Drosophila melanogaster: one gene and its partner. The gene in region 2 interacts genetically with the main gene of each other region. Each region holds a gene or a part of one and is shown on either strand. Other genes may lie near its edges. The genes, in order: mew and Tsp.

What was found.
Region 1: of Tsp (region 2) and mew, changing one enhances a phenotype caused by changing the other (phenotypic enhancement), as found in Drosophila melanogaster (one study listed by BioGRID).

What each region holds. Positions count from the first base shown.
Region 1 is NC_004354.4:13,253,869-13,259,015, reverse strand, and holds the start of mew (multiple edematous wings), read left to right. Parts: upstream 1-1,832; 5' UTR 1,833-2,184; coding exon 2,185-2,399; intron 2,400-5,147. Other genes in the region: CG15742 (uncharacterized protein), read left to right, coding at 781-1,392. UniProt on the Drosophila melanogaster protein: Integrin alpha-PS1/beta-PS is a receptor for laminin.
Region 2 is NT_033779.5:6,705,786-6,711,055, forward strand, and holds the start of Tsp (thrombospondin), read right to left. Parts: upstream 3,302-5,270; 5' UTR 2,502-3,301; intron 1-2,501.

The DNA of each region.
Region 1 (5,147 bases), on a different chromosome or scaffold from region 2:
AAAATTTTATTCAGCACATGCGCCTAGGAATCCAGGGCTGGCGAACTTGTTAGTACATCCATATGGGATTTGGTTTTTAAATATACGTTTCTTTTGCCAAGTTTAATAACTAACGACTCGTATTTGCATGATTTTTTTTTTTAATAATAATAATTAAATTTATAAAGCAAGCGGTTGATTTTTTAAATTGGTAGAGTGCTCGAGAGCTCTTTAATATAAAAGTTGTATATGTATAAATATTAATAAATTCTCGCCGGGCTTTTACTAACAAAAAATGTAATCATTTAATTTTTTAAGATTTTCCGGTAAGAGAAGTCTTAAATTGCTACCGCATTTATACCAGAAAATTCGTGGTCCACAATAATCGATTTATCGATAATATCCGACTGAACGAAAATTCAAATCTAGTGTGCGAGGAAATTTAGAGACGAAAGTTTACGTATTTAAGCGTCCAGTAGTCATTGAGTTAAGTGTAGCTACCTGATTCGGATAATTAAGTACTTTTACTTTTTTGGGAGCACAACAAAATTTTGTTCTCGTTCTTACTTTTACACAGCAAAATTTTATAATTTTTTAAAATTTTTCTGCCGGGCTGTTCGACGAAGCAAAATCAATTTACCAGTACTACGACGGTGAGTGACGATGCCAATCGCTAACTTTCTGTACACACGTATGTTACCATTCCGAGAAAGTTTCTAGATAACAAACACGGCCATTGCAGCTTACTTGTATAATAAAACACATTTCTAACACGCTTTTTACACGACAAACCGCGGTTCGATGTCAAAAGTTCGATGCAATAAGATCGACCACTGCTTGCTGGGCGCAGTTCGCGGCATTAAGCCGCCCTATCGCTCGGTGCGTAATGCCCAAGACGGCGTGATTAGCACCTTCCTGGACAAGTACAGTAGGCCCAATTATTTTGCCATCCGCTTGGTGATACCCGCCGAGTTGCCACCCATCGATCTGGCCGAAATACTTATGGACATGCTAAAGATGCAAATATTGCGCCGCAAGAATTGTATCGCGTCGTCCAATTGGGTCAGGATGAAATATATATGTCAATACGGCAGCAAAGCCGATGAGACGTTCATCATGCATGACAGTGCCATGAGAAAACTGCAGCAGGCCATTGAAGAGCTCACCAATCTGCTCGATCAACTGAAGCTGGCGTATGAGCCCGTTTCCTATGGACGGATAGCCGTGCAGGCTCAACAGTTGGATAAGCGGGCCCAGATATGGCAGAATTTGCTCAACGGCCGCAATGAGCAGTTGGAGCGCCGTTTAGCTCGGGACATTTCACTCCCATATCCTCCTGCAATAGATGCCCGCATGCGCATTTCGAAAAGTTATCAAGTTATCAACCATATGCGCACTTGGCGTTTCGGCTAAGGTCAGCAAATTAGAATTTGGTCGAATTTGTTTGTATATCAATATGGTCACTAAAGATGCTGCTGTGATATTTTACCTTGCTTTTGGATATATATACATTTCTTTGGATAGCATCTACCTGGACTGAGACGTTCTACTGTCATAGTGATTCTGATGTCGTATGACTTCTATATTAACTTTAAATTAATCGAGTGCAACGCATGTCGAGATTAATAAATAACATATCAACAACAAAACACAAACTTTGACTTACCTCCGCGCTGCCCGAATTGCAAACAAAGAGAATGATGTTATCCAGCCCTCTAGTGTAGTGGAACTGCTTGTGCGTCTGCTTGCTATATGTTTGACCACTGCTTGCACAGCGCACATGTATGTTCGAACCATGTTCGAACCATGTTCGATGGTAGCTCAGTAGCTTAGTGTAGCTCTTCTGTGCGAAGCATTTTATTTTTCGTTTGCCCGTCGAAGAAGGCGAAGCGAAGAGAAAATATCTGCCGCTTCGAACGCACGCTATCAATGTCTAATTCTTTACGTAATAATCATTTTTTTTTTTGCTGTGTGACTGAAACGAAGAAATATACGAGCAAAAGTGAAAAATACGTGGACTACCTGTTGATCCAAAGATCTCAACGGATTTAGTGTGTGTGTGTGTGTGTGCGTGCGTGTTTTTTTTCGGTTCATTGTTTTGTTTGCAATAGTGCAAAGGAAAAAGTAATCACTTTGCCGTGTTCGGTGCACGTGCACGAAATATTTATAAAATATATATTAAAAAAAAAAAACATAAAATTAACGATGTTGGAGCTACCGTTTACCACCATACGGCCCAACTGCCGGCTAAGACAGAATCTTGGTATTCTGATAATCCTGCAATGCGTTCTCACTTGCTACAATTTCAACCTAGAACAGCGATTGCCCATTGTGAAGTACGGACATCCGCATTCGCATTTCGGCTACTCGGTGGCCACCCACACTATTGGCGAGGCCAATGGGCCCAACAAGACCAACTGGTAAGTGGATAGTTAAGTGGATAGATAAGTATCTGAAAGATGCGTCCAAAGTATGCGAACTTCCAAAGTGAATCATTATCTGCAGTTCATTTAAACGCTTAGGCATATTTTTATTTTTCAACAATCAATTTTAAACTTGCATCCAAAAGATTTATTCGAAAAGTGTCTTGTTGTCTCAGCTGTGTTTTTTTTCTTTAGAAAAATGTTAGGTAAACAATAATGCTGAAGAACAGGTAGAGAAGAATCCAAATCCAAATTCGTGTCCGAATCGGAAATTCGCGCCAAGAATCTTGTTGGTGCGCAAACAGGTTTTTATATTCGCCAAATCGATTTCAGCTTAATTGACTGGCATTGATTGTTATTAATCAGCAGCACACGAACAATAACAACAACAACAACAAATAATAAAATAATAATAATAATAAGAAGAATTTGCATTGCAATCGCTGTGTTTGTTGCTGTTGTTCAGGGGGGGGGGGGGGGCTATCAAAGTTTGCTAATGCGCGAAACTTGTTTGAAATCGTGTTTTTATTGTTGAATTACCATAAATTGTTTGAATATCGAGTATTTCCAGAGATGATGCCAGGTTTTAGATGTTTTTCGAATCGAAACAAACCATAATAAACTGAATGCATATGCCAAATGCAATGACAGCAGATAAGTGTTAAATATTATATTTGTTTGTTTCTCTTTTTTTTTTTTCGAATTGCTATTTGAAGAATTTCAACAGTTTAAACGATTTGTCATCCTTACTATCTGAGAATTTGCCTGTTTGATATTTTATGGTTTTGATTGTTTATTTTTGTGCAACTGATAAGCATAGTTGGTCGAAGAACAGACGAATTGTTTTAATGTTTCCCCCGACATGGGTTAAACCCTTGAACTATTGCGACTGAAGCGGATGTGGATTTATTTGCATTTGTCATAGATTCTTTTTGGCGAGGGCTTGGTGCTCATTAAATGTCTCGTATTGGCGACTTTATAAGTTGGCCAACTCCTTTTCGCATTCTCTATATACAATACAAGCAATACATAGATAGATAGATAGATAGATACATTGGCCAAACCAAACTCGGTAGACAAAACGGAGCCAGACGGCCAGTGGCCATAAAAATGGGCAGACAACAAATCTGGAATCAATACAAGCTGCGACTTGGATGCGCCAATTTGCAGCGAAAAAAACTGAGTTGCTAACATTTTAATACATTTAATACAACTGAACTGGCAATCGAGTTATTCCCGCCACATGGTGTGGTTTCTTAACCATGTATTGTGGTAAAAAAAAAGAAATTGTGCCATTCGCGGCATGCCCCATCGCTATCACTCGGTGCGTAATGCCTACGTAGGCGTGAAAAAGTCATGTTCCCCTTCTCTCTCTCTTGCCAAGTAGTGCCCTCTCCTTCGGTCACCCGAATAAGGGAAAGGGATATTATTATTATACTTATCATATATATGTTTATATATATCATTTATCGGCCGACGAGTCTAAGTGTACCAGCCTGAGTCATTTGGGTTAAGTAACGAAATGTCACGTATTGAAAGTCCAACTGAAAATCAATAGACCTTCAAAAAAAAAAAAATAATAAAAATAAATTTGCAAATGAGATGCATGATAAACTTTGAGCTTTAACTTCAATGTAATGGTGATATTATATGGTGGTGACCCCGTTTGGCAAGAAGTGGTGACCCACGCTGTTTCTTAAATCTGCATCGCGTCTTTAAATGACGCACTTGAAATCGGAAGAAGCTGTAATCCAAACGGAAATTGCTGTTTTTTTTCGCATCGAAGGCTAGTCCGATAACTGCAGTGAATTGCACAGTTAACTTGAATTTCCAGCTCGTTTATTGCGCGCCTTTTGTTTTTCAGTTTTGTTTGCACTTTGCGATTGTCGCATATTTGTTTTATTAATGAAAAAAAAGGTACGTATGCAAATAATGTGACTCGCTTATCGCTGGCCCATCTTAATTTTTTTTTTGTACCAGCCATATATACCAGCGGTTACGTGGCGCAATTATTACCTTTGATGATATGGTACAAATTGAGATAAGCCGCTGAGGATGGTCGATTAAGCTATACAATTGTTTTCGTACCCTTGCCGTGGCATTTACAGCGCCATAAAAAATGTGTATATATGTAGGCGACTTTTTTTAATTAGCACCTTCAATCAATCGGCATTAAATAATGATTGGCTTTGTTAATGAACTACAATTTCATTGCGCTGAATACTCAATATATTGCAGATTGAAAATGGTATGAAAATGCTAGCACGATTTTAACTCGCTTGCATGTAAATAAATCTCTGAGATTCGGTGTATCTCGTAGATGTTGTATCTCATGTGGGATACTTCTTCTGCATCGCGAACAGCTCACTGGTTGTGTTTATGCCGACAACATGTGTTCCTTGTTTGCGCCAAAAAATATAGAAGAGAACAAAAACTAAGAAAGAACTTAAAAAACTTTTCGGCGAAATGAGGTCAACAGACGCCAAACAGTCGCAAGAAAGGAAAGGTTGGGGGGAATGGTGGTGGTTGGTTGGTTGGGTGGTTGGGTGCTCAATGGGGTGGGCTATCCACTGGGGGCTGGTCGACAGTTTATGGTTATTGTTGTTGCTCTTTTACTCGCTGCTGGTGCGTGTGTCTCCCGCCAAATAGTTGAATAGTTAACCCAGGCCCAGCAACACAAAAAAAAAATAAATAAAATAATAAGAAAAATATGGGAACCCAACCCAAAAGTCCATTTCTCATCTA
Region 2 (5,270 bases):
TCGTCATTTTATTGATTTCTGTATTTGTATCGATTTGAATTTAGGCCCGGTCTTTTTGTCGTCGTTTTCCCATTCAATTTTTGACTATTTATATTCGACAAAAATGCAGTAGTTGACAGCTGAAAATGTGGCTTTTCAGGTGTTATATGGAGTCCTATTTCAAAATATTGAAAGGTCTGTCAATTATAAGTCGGGTGATTGAGATTTCTGGTATGGTAATTGCCACCTGCCAAGTTGCTCAATCGCAACAGCAGAGTACATAAAAATGATTGAAATTGTAGGTGTAAAAACGCATAAATCACAATTTAAAGACCCGTAAGAATGGTATTATTATAATCTCTGTAATCTTGAATCTTTAATCTTGCGTTGAGCTAAACATGCATGATGACTACTTTTTGATGTAAGCATAGCCAGCAGCTAGAAACTGTCTCAAATCGTATTATATTGCCATCAATTAAATTTATACAGCGGCTATATAATTAAATGTTTATTTTTACCAGGTGTTTGTTGGACCGCACCTTGCTATCAGTGGTCGTCTTTAAATAATTTGCATATCTTCGCAAAATATCTAAGGAAAATAATATGCGTGATAGATGCTACTATTCTTGCCCGGATAAAAGTATACATTTCGGCGCAATTTTCGTTGGCAATCTTGTCAAATCGCTTGAGAATGTGTTTAATCTGTCATTAGGCCAAAACCGAAAACCCATTAACTTATGTTGATGAACCATTAAGGCAAAGTCGCGTCTCCATTCGACTTGAATTGGTTTTGAAGCCCGCAGTCCAAACGGCCAACACAAATAGCCTTAGCTGCTATTGTGACTTTGCTCCATTTGAATTGCAAATTCCGACTGAAGTCAATACAAAGCATTAAAATTTGTTAGCCTGATTTGCCGCAGAAGGTTCGGATATTGGTGTCCAAATGACTTTCCACTGACGATGCGCTAATTTGCTGGTGCAACAATTTTCCACTTAATTTGCATTTGTTTATGAACTCATAACTCGCTGCCAAGCGGAAATTCCATAACTAACAATGGCAATATTATTTATGTTTTAATAATGTCAAACTCGAGCTCCAAATATGGCCAGCAAGATATTACCATGTCTGAAGAGTCATCTCTGTGTGGAGCGCCAAGGGGTGTCAATGTTTGGACAGAGAATAAGAAAACACCAAGCTCCATATTTGAATAATTATTCAGTGAATTTCTGTCACATCTCATTGCAAAACTGAACAGATCGATCTTATTTGTCCGCTCTATTGAAGGGAAAGTATCTATCTATTGTATAGATACATCGATACAACGAAGTCATAGGCCTAGCTAAAAGTATCTCCCAACTATTGGTTACTACATCTTCAAGATTAATACCCCTTCGGGTCACAACGCCACTGCCGCTAAATAATATATTCAAATAATAAAATAACCGCAAGTCTGAAATGTCTCTCGAACAGGCAGTTATAAATTGTTATGGGGATCTTTGCAGTGGGCGTCTTTTAATTGAATCGCTTGGAATTGAGTAGCAGAGCCCAGTAGAAGCTGCAAAGTGATTGGGAAATCGAGCCAAATAAAATTAAGTATTTTAACCGTTGTTGGGGAATGTGACCAGCTTCATTTGGTCAACATCATTAGCAATCTGTGGCTGCCGTTTCGAATCACAATTCATATTTGTTGGAGGGGAAAATATTCTGTGCTCTGACCTTATATGATCCACATAATTATAGTTCTCGCAAAGGCATAAACCTCAATCTGATCTGCTTTAAATACGTGTGGAAAGTCCGGTAATTAATAAATTATGACTCGACTGCGGTATTTATGGCGCCAATGCAGATAAGATCTCCCCAGATCCCCCATAGATTAATGTCGCTCGAATGGTGAGGATGCCACAGGCCGATTTTGCCGCCAGATTGCGGTTGACTTGGGTGTGGCTAATTAATATGTATCGATAGTATTTGAATTACAACAACAATTAGCTTGATTTATCATCAGATATAAAATGGCGGTGAAATGAATAGAAATCTTGTGAGGCGCTCATAAAAAATATTCATAGATTGGCCTATCAACAACTTGGTGATTATCATGCAATAAAGTCGAATGAAAAGGAGTTAAACTGCTGTGGGTGTGCAGCTAGAAGATGCGATTCTTTAGTCTACAGTCTGTTAAGATTGAAAACAAGAAATTAGCATTTAGCTATTAATAACTTTCTAAATGAATGATATTAATAAACATAGACCCAAGTCGTGATTACTTCCGTATATCTTTCGTTTATCTTTACGATCCTGAGAATATGTTAAAAATGAGATGATGCATCATTATTAACGCAACTTCTTTAAGAACAACTTAATATGCTCTAGTACCTTCCAGGCACTTGAATATGGAATGCACTTCGCACCTGGCCACTTGGCGCACTCATTTTCCGAGTGAGCGGAGTGTAGCCCAGATTTTGGCCACACGAATAAGCAGCATATGTAGAAGCCCGGAGGTCTGGCCCACCTTCACACTCACCTCGTGGTCAAGGACGCTGCTCTTGCTCTAGAGGTGCCCCCACTGCGGATGTGGATGTGATCCAAGTGATCCACTTGGCGGGACGGAACTGACAGCTCCTTGTTGTTTGTGCGGCTCGTTTGCGCCACTTGCGGCTGTCAACGCGCAATTTAGAATGGAAACGACCTGAGTTATTTTTACGAGTATTGCCACACTTTTCCGCCGCTTTTTCCTGGACGCCCGCACAGACACTTTTATTATGTTGTACTTTTGCAGAGCGAAAGATCAAACACGTCGCAAGGGTATCTTCACACTAAAAGAATCGATAACGAAACGGATGCATTAGACCATTTAAACCCTTTTCGAAATACGCGCCAGGTAGAAAAGCTGGATTTTGGAATGGGGACACACGCGAAGATTTCGTGGAGTCGATTTTATGGAATCGCGGTGGAGAACACGCGACGCCAATGCCTACAATCCTCCAGCAACGACAACTGCTCCGCAACTGACTCGCCCGTTCGTGCCAATAAAAATTAAAACACTTTTATGCTATTAAGGCGAACGCGACGCGATCTTGGACACCTTGGATGCAGAGGATGCTGCTTGAGGATCGATCGGATTTAAAAATATGGGCAAAAAACTTTGTACAGCGCGGGCTGATTTCAAAAGCACACTTAGGAAGCGTTTGAAAACTGAAACATTCTCGCGATAGTTCGATCGATTGATGCTACTGATTTATCGCCAAAACTAATCACTGATCACTTATCGAAGCACCTAGGACACGCACCGTCTTGTTCAACGTTCCAACGCGAACTGAAACTGAAAATTTGAAAATGCAAAGGGAATGATCGACGCGCAGCGTCGACTGAGGCAGCGGCAGCGCTGTTGGCTGGAGCAACTTGGAGCAGCGACAACTTGTTGTTGCCTTTCTGCGTTTCTGTTTTGTTCTCAGCTGTTGTTGTTGCTCTTGGGAGAAACGCGGCATTTTGTCTTCGTTTGTGTTTCTTTTGATTTGACGCGTGAGTAAGCCGCGACGCCCACGTGCAAAATTTGCGTAAACATCGACAGTGTGGCCAGATCGCTGCTGAATAATTGAGGAAGTGAGTGGAAAAAGTGGTAGTCAACTTTCAGATCTCATATCTTCCGCTTCCTTAGTAAAAAATAAAATTTTATAATGGGTAATCTTCTTTAAAATATAGGAAATTTAAAATTTATTTTCTATATAGAAAATGTTATTTTAAATATTCTGTAACGATCAGCGCAGTTTTCGTTTGTGCGCTTTAAGTTGCAATTATGTAATATATTGTTTAAAACTGCTGTGTAATTTGTAAGAATAAATATTTTGGTTAAAAGTCGCTCTCTGTGATTATATTTATGGGTAATTACTTATTGTCTTCAGTTCATTAGTTTATCCACCAATTATTATGGTGGAGTCGCCCACTTGGGCTGCCCCAATTGTAGATCGTTTGGGCCATTAAACTGAAACTCAATCCCGAAACATGCTTACATTGTAGGCCCGTTTAAGGCCATTAAATCGGATTCGTGCGAACCCTTTTCCGATAATGCGTCCATCCTTGTTTTCGACCACCACCTCCAAATCCAAAGGAACTCGGTGGATGGGGCCAGACTTTTGCTCTTTTGAAATGGAGATCGTAAATAAACGGCACGCTCTGCAGGCATTCAAAACAGACGAACTACTCGTTAAAACCAGAGCCCAAAATGATATGCATATGGCACCTATTAATGGCTACTTATGCAGTACAAGTGTCCCCCATTTCGGAACTCCCTCCACTCCTATTTGCCGTTGACACGGGACTGATGCGTAACACGACAGTAGCATCGGGATCCAAGGGAAAGGGAAGTTGAATGAATGGCCCGACCTGTTCGTCATTATGTCGCCGGCATGTCAGCGGACAGTTGGAGGAGGGCATTATGCAGATGTGCATTTATCACGGAGTTGCGGTGCTGCGGACACACCCGAGATGCTATCCCACATCAACGCTGCATATTTTGCCGCTTTTCGGACAGCGGCGACCACTTGCTGAAATTTCATTATGTGCGTGATTTATAAATAAGCCTCGCTGGCCCCACGCCCCATTCCACACACTCCTCGTCCGAATCCTCCTCGAGTTGTTCCCAGCATCTTCAGTGGTTACGAGCTAAGACGTCCCACGCACTTTTCGACGCCGCAACAGCAACATCAAGTCTGATCTCCTCCGAAATGCCCCACCTTTACCCCACCACCTCGCACTGCAGTTCAGTGCGTATTAATCATAAAATTGTATTATTAACATGTTTATTTTTCGGTCTTCAAGATTCGATTACACGCATTCTTCCTGCTCTTCGTGTGCAGCGCTTTCTGGAGTGTTTTTTTTTCCTCAGCGAACGTGACTTTGTTGTGCAGTGTAACGAAAGTGAGCTACTTTCTAACACTCTTAGGGGGGTTTGGGATTATCATCAGCCTTCAATTGCTCTAGGAAATATTGTCATTTTACGACTTCGCCGGTTAATTGGGTTACGTGGCTTTGGCCACTGATGCCGACCAGGCCAGATGCCTTGCACCTGGAAATAGTGTGGGAGTTGGCAAGACATGGTTTGATTGGAGTGAAGTTGGTCAAGCTTCCGGCTTAATGATTCAAAGGAGAGTGTTTAATGGCAGTTGATAAATATGCATATCTAAGTGCAAATATTTACCTAAAGGTGTTACCATAGCTCTCCATTCACCCTACAAACTAAAAGCAAGTGCTTATCACTTAATTTCCAACTCAGCCCCTTTTTTTTTGGGCCAAT